3 linked regions of the Pelodiscus sinensis genome follow. The protein of the gene in region 1 purifies or fractionates together with the protein of each later gene. This does not show direct contact. Links are inferred from orthologs where the notes say so. Each region holds a gene or a part of one and is shown on either strand. Other genes may lie near its edges.

Evidence for each region.
Region 2: the proteins of FKBP5 (region 1) and MCMBP purify together in Homo sapiens (affinity purification with mass spectrometry; 3 studies listed by BioGRID and IntAct, with this or other methods). This does not show direct contact. The link is inferred for Pelodiscus sinensis from reciprocal best matches to the Homo sapiens genes FKBP5 and MCMBP.
Region 3: the proteins of FKBP5 (region 1) and USP49 purify together in Homo sapiens (affinity purification with western blotting; 4 studies listed by BioGRID and IntAct, with this or other methods). This does not show direct contact. The link is inferred for Pelodiscus sinensis from reciprocal best matches to the Homo sapiens genes FKBP5 and USP49.

The regions. Positions count from the first base shown.
Region 1 is NC_134737.1:12,704,580-12,708,325, forward strand, and holds the start of FKBP5 (peptidyl-prolyl cis-trans isomerase FKBP5), read right to left. Parts: upstream 2,614-3,746; 5' UTR 2,485-2,613; intron 1-2,484. UniProt on the Homo sapiens protein: Immunophilin protein with PPIase and co-chaperone activities. Component of unligated steroid receptors heterocomplexes through interaction with heat-shock protein 90 (HSP90).
Region 2 is NC_134718.1:58,399,795-58,403,540, reverse strand, and holds the start of MCMBP (mini-chromosome maintenance complex-binding protein), read right to left. Parts: upstream 2,720-3,746; 5' UTR 2,567-2,719; coding exon 2,509-2,566; intron 488-2,508; coding exon 390-487; intron 1-389. Other genes in the region: SEC23IP (SEC23-interacting protein), read left to right, coding at 2,875-3,025. UniProt on the Homo sapiens protein: Associated component of the MCM complex that acts as a regulator of DNA replication.
Region 3 is NC_134737.1:9,534,847-9,538,592, reverse strand, and holds the start of USP49 (ubiquitin carboxyl-terminal hydrolase 49), read right to left. Parts: upstream 2,655-3,746; 5' UTR 2,265-2,654; intron 2,160-2,264; exon of another isoform or gene 2,073-2,159; intron 1-2,072. UniProt on the Homo sapiens protein: Deubiquitinase that plays a role in several cellular processes including transcriptional regulation, cell cycle progression or innate immunity.

The sequences.
Region 1 (3,746 bases):
GTTTAAGCATCTTTCCAGCCTCCTGTAGGGAAAGTCTTGGTTTACATGATCTGTCCTAGCAAAAGGTGACATTTTAGGAATGAACATTTAAATAGAATCACTGCATTCATCTAATGAAAAGAGACTCCTCAAACTAGCACCTTAAAGACACTGTCTACAGTACACTGTAGAACTGAAAGTAGCAAAGCTGTTTGAGATAGTCAATTTCATTCACAGGCAGAGTCAATTTCATTCACAGGCAGGATCAATTAAATGGTGCACCTTGAATATAGCCCTGGAAATATGAACTGGAATTAACCAAATGGAAACATTACACATTATTTTTGAATTTATCCTTCAAAAGCTCTTATAGCTCACCAGGTAAATAATATTCCTTTGAGGCACTAATATGCATGTCTGAAATGCACTTTGCAGCAGGAAAGTAGAAACTTCACAAGAGCTATTTGTGCAATCGAATGTGAGAAAAAGTGAGCGTCTCCAATCATGTTTATTTTGTGTTATATATGAAAACTGTGCAGAGTCATGTTCTCAGTATTTACTTTTACAATCCATGGGACATTTTTTCGGTAGGTGTCATTATACAGGAACCTCATTTTGTGATGATACTATACTTTTACACCTGGAGGAAAAAAATATCCTCCTCTAGGGTTCTATTACCATGGCTGCAGACCATGTTTGGATTCACTGAAAAGCACTGCTGTAGGAAGCTGCAAAACAGTATTTCAGCAAAGGATACAGGGCTGCCTATAGTGAAAGTAGGCCACTTTTCAATCAGAAAATCTAGAAATGTTTGACATTTCTGTCAGAAAACAAGTGAAATCTCAGATACGGGGCAAAGAAGATTAATACAAATATAACTCTTTTAAATGATTGGGTGGATGCAAAGTCAATTTAACTTAAAATTTCCAGATTAAAAAATATATTAATATTTAATATCATAATTGTATCACAGACAAAAGTTAGAAGATTTAAAGCAAAGACTCTAAACTCACTTTTTTGTGCAAAGATTTTTTGTAAGCTGTTTTTGAGAGATTTTTTTGTGCTGAAGGTTCCTCAGTGGCTTTCAAACACCAGGTAGATTCAATATATTGTGAGAATTGAAACAATTTCCTTTTGTCAATTATCTGTTTAACTTAAAGATTAATTTCATCAGGTCCTTACACTTGGCTCTTTCTGAAGTCAACAACACCAGCAGACTCCATCTAGTCTCCCACAGTACAAGGGGCATATTACAAGACATTAAACTTTTTTTTTTTTACATACCATTCCTCCCAAGGGAAAAAAGTAACCCAGATCCTAAAGCAAAAAAGCCTAACACAACCAACGGACACTGTTCTTCCTATCCTTGCAAAATTGCATTTATAAAGATAACAGTGTTTTATAAAACAATTCAAAATCCTTGGCTAGAAGCAATATTTCAGAACCATAAGGCCAAAGGTAAGGACCAAATCCACATACACTCCAATCTCACACACCTTCCATACATAGGAGGCTCCTGTAGTACTTAATAGAGGTTCCTTAGCCACAGCACAAACAGCCCACCTGTTCTCCAGGTTCTTCCTGACGCCACATCCCACCAAGTTCCTTCGCCCCCTTTCCTCCATGCCTCCTTAATTCCTTTCCTCCCATGATAGGGTTACCACCTGGCTCTTACATAGCATTTGCGATACACATACACAATGCAATATTTGCAGCATTTCCTTCCACTGCTCTTCATCACCTCCTAAACCAGGGTCTCTATATTGCTGGTAAGACATTTACCTTTCCCCACCTCTAATATCATTAGCTCACAGACATTCACCTTCCTTCCCCCCCCCGCATTCCCCTTCTGTTCTGAAATGTGATTTGTCCTTTTCATATGTGTTCACTTTTTTTAATTGTATCCTTTGGTATATATGGTTGTGACTATTTTCTTCCACTATTTGATCTGAGGAAGTGGGTCTGGCCCCACGAAAGCTCATCGCCTAATAAACCATCTTGTTAGTCTTTAAAGTGCTACATAGCCCTGCATTTTGTTTCTTCTATATTTCTGGTTATTGGGGGGAGGAGGGGAAGAATTATATTCCTCCCCTCTCAGCAGAATTAAAATGTCACCATCCCATTTTTAAAACTTTCCCTATTGGGGGGTGGGTCATTCTTCTCCCCCCCCCCAAAAAAAACCCCACCCACACTCCCCAAATGTTCCTTTTGGAGCCCCCTCACATCCATCCAGGCATTAGTGATTCAGAGGGGGGCGGTGTGGGAGTGCGGGGGTTCAGAGGAAGGGGGGTTTAGGGGAGGGGGAAGGAGGAGGCAGGGGGCAATAGGGGGACAGGGACCCCAAGTTACCCTGGAGGGGGGGGGTCTGCCTCTCAATGGGGGGGGCTGCTCATGGGTGGCCCGGCCCGGGGGGGGGCAGCCCCTGACTATAAAGGGGGCTGGAGCCTCGGGGGGGGGCTCACCAGCCTCTGAGCCACGGCCCCGCCACCCCCCGGGGGCGCCTACCTGCCGCTCCGCTGGCTCCCGCCGCCGCGCTGCCCGGCTAGAACTGACACCGGGCGGCCGGCCGGAGCCGGCCCGAGTCCCCCGCCTTCCAGCGAGGCCCCGCCTTCCCGAGCGCCCATTGGGCGCCGCGCCTTCCCGTCTACGTCAAGGGCGCTCGAGCCGCGGCTTCATTGGCTACTTCTCCGCCCTGCATGTAAATGAGGCCGCTTCTGCCCGCCCCCTGCCGGGAGCAGAGCCCAGCCTCAAGCTTTTTGCGAAGAGCGCGGGGGGGGGAGCGCCGGAGAAAGTCAGTGCAGCCCCTCAAATCCTCCATGCAGCGCCGCGGCCCCTGTGCAACGCCCCCACGCCGTCCGTGCAACCCCTCCAAAACCTCAGTGCAACGCCTCAGGCCCGGTGCAATGCCCCCTGTCAGTGCAACCCCCCCCCATCTCAGTGCCACAGCTCAGCCCCAGTGCAACCCCCCCAAAACCTCAGTGCAACCCCCCCAAAACCTCAGTGCAACGCCTCAGACCCGGTGCAATGCCCCCTGTCAGTGCAACCCCCCCAAAACCTCAGTGCAACGCCTCAGACCCGGTGCAATGCCCCCTGTCAGTGCAACCCCCCCCAAAAATCTCAGTGCCACAGCTCAGCCCCAGGGCAACCCCCCCAAAACCTCAGTGCAACGCCTCAGACCCGGTGCAATGCCCTGTCAGTGCAACCCCCCCAAAACCTCAGTGCAACGCCTCAGGCCCGGTGCAATGCCCCCTGTCAGTGCAACCCCCCCCCCAAAACCTCAGTGCAACACCTCAGACCCGGTGCAATGCCCCCTGTCAGTGCAACCCCCCCCAAAACCTCAGTGCAACGCCTCAGGCCCGGTGCAATGCCCCCTGTCAGTGCAACCCCCCCCCCAAATCTCAGTGCCACAGCTCAGCCCCAGGGCAACGACCCCAAACCGTCACTGCAACCCCCCCAAAACCTCAGTGCAACGCCTCAGACCCGGTGCAATGCCCCCTGTCAGTGCAACCCCCCCAAAACCTCAGTGCAACGCCTCAGACCCGGTGCAATGCCCCGTCAGTGCAACCCCCTCACATCTCAGTGCCACAGCTCAGCCCCAGGGCAACGATCCCAAACCGTCAGTGCAACGCCTCGACCCCAATGTAACGCCCCCTAACGGTCATTGCAACTCCCCAAATCCTCAGTGCAACCCAGCCCCCCTGCAACGCCCCCAAACCATCAGTGCAACCTCCAAATCCTCAGTGCAACCCAGCCCCCGTGCACCACCC
Region 2 (3,746 bases), on another chromosome or scaffold:
CTCCAATTTACAAGTCAGAGCAGGTTTTTATGCCTATACAAACGCAATAGAGAATAATATTTGTCAGCTACTGCCATCTAATGGAGCACATTTAGTTGGCATTCAGCAGTTTAGGTACTGATTCAAAGTGCACTGAAGTCACTTTCATTAATTTCAATACACTTTGGATCAGACCCTTATATGTTTTACTTTAGTTAGGTTTTCACATTTAAATATCTGTAAGATAAACCAAATTTTGGGCTTAGAATCTCAACAGTGTCCCTTTCAGATAAGTACGAGCAAGTTCCACACACAGATTTCTTTAGAAGAAACTTGCCGCTATAACAGAGAAGCAAGAAGGCAGGAGTTGGAAGAATGGAAAAAACTCCAAACAATTTAACCAATTTTACCCAGTTAGCTGCATTATTTTCTTTTAGCTTCTCTCTAAAGTATTCGGTCACTTTCTTCTCCCAGTCAGGACTTGGACCATTTTGAGCTAGAAAACAAACTGCATTAAGAATGGCAATAGTACAGTACATTCAACTTTTATTCAGCCTGATAGGCAATCTGCTGATGTGAACTGAATTTTAAGAGGACTTTACTCCTACACAACATGCATATTATAACAGCCTTGATACCATTTGTATTTTCTTATCTTTCTGTAAGAACCTTAACAGAGATAAAAGGCAAATATATCCACTGCATAGGTGGGGGGGGGGGGGGGAGGGAAAGCTCAGACGCCAGAGATTTAAAAAACACTGAAGACTGCAAGGAATATCGGGGACTGATTATGTGTTACTTTTCTTTATCACGTGAATTATGTAACCTTTTGTAAGTGTTATTTCTGCACAAGCTCCTATTCCAGTAATTAAGAAACTATGCATTATGTTTTGGTTAAAATTAAGAACTTTTTTTGGCATGTTCTTCAATAGTATTATTGGTAGTTGAGAACAATATACCCATCACTACAAGGGAGATATAACTTAAGTTTAAGGTCATTAGAGTGCTGGGCATCAAACAGAGCTGAATTTTTTTTTTAAAAGCAGTTTCAAATACTAATGGGCTGGTATTAGAATTCATTACAATGTTTATAAATCTAGACAAAAACATGTTTTAGAAACATCTAACATGCTATGGTTCTGTCCATACTAGCTCACCAAACTGTTACATATACCTCCTTAGCAAGGACAGAATTAAAAGTATAGCTTCTTAAGTTTCAGTCCAATGTAGACAGGAGCCCAAATTATACATGATGTACCTGTGTTTCAATAGGAAGTCCTTGAAATTACATCCTTTCTAATCCATCTCAGCTGCCTCTATTTTTTTTAGCTGCAGATACAGGGGAATCTAGCTGCCTTCACTCCTCATCTTGGTACACACTTTAAAAATCTCCTAGTGGTCATCTGAAGAAGTGGGTTGTGCCCACGAAAGCTCATGATACCATCTACATGTTTTGTTAGTCTATAAAGTGCTACCAGACCATTTGTTGTTTTTTTCTCTAACAGACTAACTCGGCTACCTCCTGAAGCTAGTGTTCAATGACTTCCTGAGTTGCTTCCTCAGCAAAGTTTTTTTGCATAGTGAGTCCTATTTTTCTGTATGGTGAAGGAGTCTTTCAACCTTCTTTCTATTTGAGCTCATGGGAGAGTTTGCAGAGTGATTCAACAGATTCAAATTCAGGAACTTTAGTCATCACTTTTTAACATCACCCATGAACGACTTGTCTTACTCTTGCAATGCTTTCTTTCCCCAACACTATAATCTTTCAAGACTTGTAAACAGGAAGAAACTGCATTCTGAACGCATATTTTTCAGGGGAAAAATTGACACTTTTGGAAAGAGGAGATATTGTTGCAAAGTGGAATTACTAATGCAAAAGGAATAGACTATTGTAAGTAACTGTGTATTCACACCCTGGGCACCAGCGAATGTGCATGTCTTGCCCTGTCAGGTCTCTCATCAGGAAGGAGACGTCTTCACTAAAGTATTATTTAAGAGATTTTGAGAGAGAATAATTTTGCGGTGTTTCGAGACTTTTTAGAAATTTATGTCTCGGCTGCCTGACAGCCCGGTTAGCTACAGGCAGCAACTCCCGCCCCCACATGTCCAGCACTTGTAGCCCCCCCAACTTCTGTTTCTGGCTATTTCAAGGCACAAATCAGCCCCCAGCACGGCGCTCCGCACCGCGGGGTAAGGATCGCTTCCAGGCTCCGGTCCTGCCCCAGGAGCACCCGACGCAGCAGCGGGCTTGGCCCCCCGCCCTGCGCGGGCTGTTACTCGACTCCTTCCACGCGCCAACCGAGCCCCGCCAAGCCGCCACAACCGCCCCACCGCGGCCACTTCTGCCTCAGCCCCGGCTCCCAGCCACCCACCGCCGCGCTCCCGAGCGTGGCCATGGGCACCCGCAGGGCCCGGCGCTCGCCCGCCCGCTGACTCCCCTCCCCGCCCCGGGCGCCCCATTATCCAGCTCCCGGCCCCGCGCCGCCTTCCCACAGGGCTGCTCCCCGCCAGCCACAGCCCCGCGCTCACCGAAGATGCCCTGCACGATGCTGAGGGGGCTGTTCAGCCAGTCGGCCACACACGGCATCTTGCGGGCGTTGGGCGGGAGCCGGGACTGGCCGAGCCTGCCGCTCCCGCAGATCGGGCCCTGCGCCCCACCGTCGCCACGCGCCCGCCCTCCCGCGAGCTCCCCGAGCTGGGTCCCGAACTTCCGGCTGAGGCGGCCTCCCTCCCGCGGCGGCCGGCGCGGCCCCTCCCCTCTCACCCTGACGCTGCGGCGTGAAGGGGCGGGTGGGCTGCGCCGCCGCCATCTTGGAGCCGGGCAGCGCTGAGGGCGGAAGGGGCCGGGCTGGCTGCTCCTCAGGGCTGGGGAGGAGACGTGGAAGAGCCACAGCTATGGCCGCCACGAAAGGGCCCGGGGCCGGTTCCGTCGGCGGCACCAACCTGCTCTTCTCCTCCTCCGCTACCGAGTTCAACTTCACTGTGCCCTTCATCCCGGTCAGCCAGGCGCCCGCCGCGCCCCCGGGGCCCGCTCTCCTCGGCACAGGTATGCGGGGCTGAGCTCCTGGGGGCGGCTGGCCGGGGATACTGGGGGGGGGGCGCGAATTGGGGGGAGGGGAGTGATGAGGGATTGTTGGGGAAGAGCTGAGGGGGTAGCTGGGGTGGTGGGAGCATGAGGGTCCTGGGGCGGGGGACACGGTGTTGGGGAGGTGTCGGGGGGGGGGGAGGGATGTGATGGGGGGCATGGTGTCGTGGGTGTCTTGGGGGGGGGGAGACATGAGATAAAGGCCGTGGTGTGGGGGACATGGGGTAGGGTGTGTCTGAGGGGCAGAGGGATGAGATGGGGCCTTTGTAGGAGAAATGGTGTTGAGGCGGTGGGGGGAGAAGGAGGAGATGGGGGAGGCATTGGTGCACGTTGGGGTGGTGAGGGAACGGTGTCGGGGATTAATAGGGGAGGGGGATGAGATGGGAGTCCTGGTAGGGGGGGACACAGTGCTAGAAGAAGCAGAGAAGAGACGAGGGGCCCTGATGAAGGGGACTCAGTGTTGGGGTAGTGGGAAGGAAGGGTCTATAAAATGGGGCCTCGTGGGAGAAATGGTATGGGGGGGGTGGAATGTTGCATGGGGCTTGATAGACTCAGAGTGGGGAGGTGACCGTTCAGCTCCCTTTATTTGTTGCCTGGTGGCGTGTTTGTACAGTTGCCTTTCCCCGTTTCAACAGTTATGATCTGCAGCATTCTGTGCTGACACACAGGTGTGACTTCTGTG
Region 3 (3,746 bases), about 3.2 Mb from region 1:
GAAGATAGAGAATAAAATCATGGTAGTTAGAAAAAGAGACTGTGTGTTCTATCCTGCAACATTTACTCAAGCACAGATACTTCAATGGGACACGTGAGTAAGGACTACTGTTTGGAGCTAGAACTGCAGATCTCTAGTAGGAGGATCTAGTCTATTCCCCCCTACAATACAGAATTATTTCTCTTAGTATGCATATACTGGGGTTTGGGATAAAATTTCAATTAATCATTTTATTTATAAACCACGCAACACACACTCTGCCATTGCTCTGTTTAGAGAAAGGGGGATCTTGTGGGCCATTCAAATGAACTTTAAATGTTGTTATGAAATTATATGAATTTGTTATTTACAAAGCATCACCCTCATTTTACTATGTTCACCCTCACAATTACTGTATTCAAACAGCAGCATTAGCACAACAATTTAAATCCTGTTTACCATAAACCAGAAGGATTTAAGGAAAAGTTGTTACACAATTAGAGCTCAATTCTACAAGGGACCTGAGGGCATTCAATATCTTGATTTTTATGGTTCCATCTTCATAACTTCCCCCAGACCTTTCTGGGGACATTTAGAACACAATAAAAGAAAAAAAATGATAAAACCATTTCAATCATTCTTTTAGTATGAGTCCCCTCTCTCTCTTCCTTACTGTTTCCCTCTACCCCAAGTGCATTGCTACAGAAAGAGGAAAATGCAATGGGATTAAGGAAGAACAACAGGTCAACCTACAGCACTATGCTCTTAAAACAGTATAACAAAAAGAAAGTTGCTAACATCACACTGACAGTAAGGAAAAAAGTAGCTTGGGATCTTACCTCCCGCAGACAGAGGGATTTGCACCTCTGTACCATGCTACTTACCACCCTGTTGTCAGTCACCACTCCAAGACCTCCAACTGCTCCCCACCATAACCCATCAGTGCCCACAGTTCACATAATGGAACAACGGTATCTCTCTCTCTCTAGCCATAGTCTCAGCACTGGGCTCTTCATAGTTAGCGCCTGTTCTTTGACTGTTTCAATCACAGAGTGCCCCAATCACTGCTTAACCACCAACCCAACCTCTCCCTTGATCCAGCCTTGTTCCCTGACCTACCTTTTCTCTTCAACACTTGCCCCCAAACTTCCTTGTAACATATGAGCCCAAGTCCCCATCACCTCCAGCACCTACACCCACTAATTTTCAATCATCCAGCCCATTTCAGCTCTTTTAACCATACCTGTCCGTTCCCCTGAGTGCTCCCTAAGCCTCGCATCCCATCACATTTATCACTCTCAGGCTGAACCTCGCCCTAGCCTCCAAAGGGCCATAAACTCTCCCTTGGCCTCCATTATCAGCTTCTTCTCAACCTCACACTGTGGTGGGTGACCTCCTCATTCTCCTTGTCTCAAGTTGCTACTGTGGGCATGAAAGCCCCGGAGCCCCCACCTGTGCGTGAACGCCAACGGCCCCCTCCCCTCATGGGGATAAAGCCATTCCGCTCCCCCCGGCGTGGGGAGTAAATCCACATTTCCCCATTGAGAAATGAAGCACTTCACCCCCCCCCAAAACTGGGGTGAAACCAGCTCCTCATGGAGTTAGACCACCCCACGCTCCCCACGGGGGGGGGTAAAGCCCCTTCCCACTTCACCCCTTAAATTGGGGGTTCAACCCCTCAGCCCTGCTCTGTACCCCAAAACCTCCACGGGGGGGAAGCCCCCTCACATCCCTCCCCCCTGAACTGGGGGTCAATCCCCTCAGCCTCCAGGGGAGGGTTAGAGCCCCCCCCCCCAGCTTTCCCATAAGGGGTGAAGCTCCCTCATACTTCACCCCCAAACTGGGGTTAAACCCCTCCTGACCCCCCAGCCCCCCCTCGGGGTGAAGTCGCCCACCCTGGGGGTCAGGCGCCCCCGTACCCAGCCCCTGGGGGGGCGTGAAGCCCCCAGACCCGTCCTAATAAGGGTGCAGACCCCCCCCCTCACAGCCCCAGTGTGGGGCTTGAACCCCTTCCTCCAGCCCGCCTCGGGGGGTGAACCCCCCTCCCCCCGGGGGGGGTCAGATGCCCCCTCCCCCCCAACCCCTTTATTTACCGCCATCATCAGCACGCGCGAGCTGTCACCGAGCGCGAGACACCCCAACCGGGGCCGGCCCCGCCCCCTCCCCGCCCATTGGCCGCCAGCCTCGCCCCGCCCCCCGACGCCATTGGTCGGAGCGCACGCCACACACTCAACCTTCTCCGCCCTCCTCTAGCGCTGTACGCCCCATTCCCCGACACCACTTACGCCATCTTCGCAACGCTCCCGTGAGCGGCGTGGCGGGTTTCTTCGGCGCGGTACGCCCGCGAGCGAGCGCCGCGGAAGCTTTCCCGCGTGTTAGGCCACTTGCGCGGCACAGACCGCGAACTCTTTACTAGAGTACGTGAATTGCGTGGGCTTGCCGCTCCATTCTCCGCGGCCCTACGCCGCTTGCGTAGCGGGAGATTTCGAACGCGGGACTAGTGTGCGTCGCTTGCGTAGCCGGCTGGGAGGCACTTCAGTGGCTTACGGCAGTTGCGCTGCGGAGTGGGAGGGGGAGAAGGGCGGAGGGGCGGGGACTCGATGGCCCCACCCCGGACCAGTGACGTAGCTGGGCTTTGTGAATCGCAGGCTGAAGTTTGGTTGAGTCACACGAGGGTAAATAAGGATGTTTCAGAGACAAAGAGACTCTTAAAGGGGCAGGGGCGTCGTGTGCTACAGGCCACGCGCTGCGCCTGGGCAGAGCAGCAGCAGGCTGGGGCGGAGAGGGAGCAGCACAGGGCTCCAGCTAGCCCCCTGGGCCAGGGACACCACAAGGGGCGCTGCCACGGGGCCACGTCCAGCACCGCCATTCCACGGGGGGCGCTGCCACGGGGCCATGTCTGGCACTGCCATTCCACGGGGGGCGCTGCCACGGGGCCATGTCTGGCACTGCCATTGCACAGGGGCACTGCCACGGGGCCACGTCCGGCACCGCCATTGCACGGGGGCGCTGCCACGGGGCCACGACTGGCACCGCCATTGCACAGGGGCGCTGCCACGGGGCCACGTCCAGCACTGCCATTGCACGGGGGCGCTGCCACAGGTCCACGTCCGGCACTGCTATTGCACGGGGGCGCTGCCACGGGGCCACGTCCAGCACTGCCATTGCACGGGGGCACTGCCACGGGGCCACGTCCAGCACTGCCATTGCACGGGGGCACTGCCACAGGGCCACGTCCAGCACCGCCATTGCACGGGGGCACTGCCATGGGGCCACGTCCAGCACCGCCATTGCACGGGGGCGCTGCCACGGGGCCACGTCCAGCACTGCCATTGCACAGAGGCACTGCCACGGGGCCACGTCCGGCACTGCCATTGCACAGGGTGCTGCCATGGAGCCACGTCTGGCACCGCCACTGCATGGGGGCACTGCCATGGGGCCACGTCTGGCACCGCCATTGCACGGGGGCGCTGCCATGGGGCCACATCTGGCACCACCATTGCTTGGGGGTGCTGCCATTGCCCGGGGGCACTGGCACGGGGCCATGTCTGGCACCACCATTGCATGGGGGTCACGTCCAGCACGTGGTCACGTCCAGCAGCGCCATTGCCCGGGGGAGCTGCCACGGGGCCACGTCTGGCACTGCCATTGCATGGGGGCACTGCCACAGGGTCACGTCTGGCATCACCATTGCATGGGAACACTGTCGGGGCCACATCTGGCACTGCCATTGCATGGGAGTGCTGCCACGGGGCCACATCCAGCAC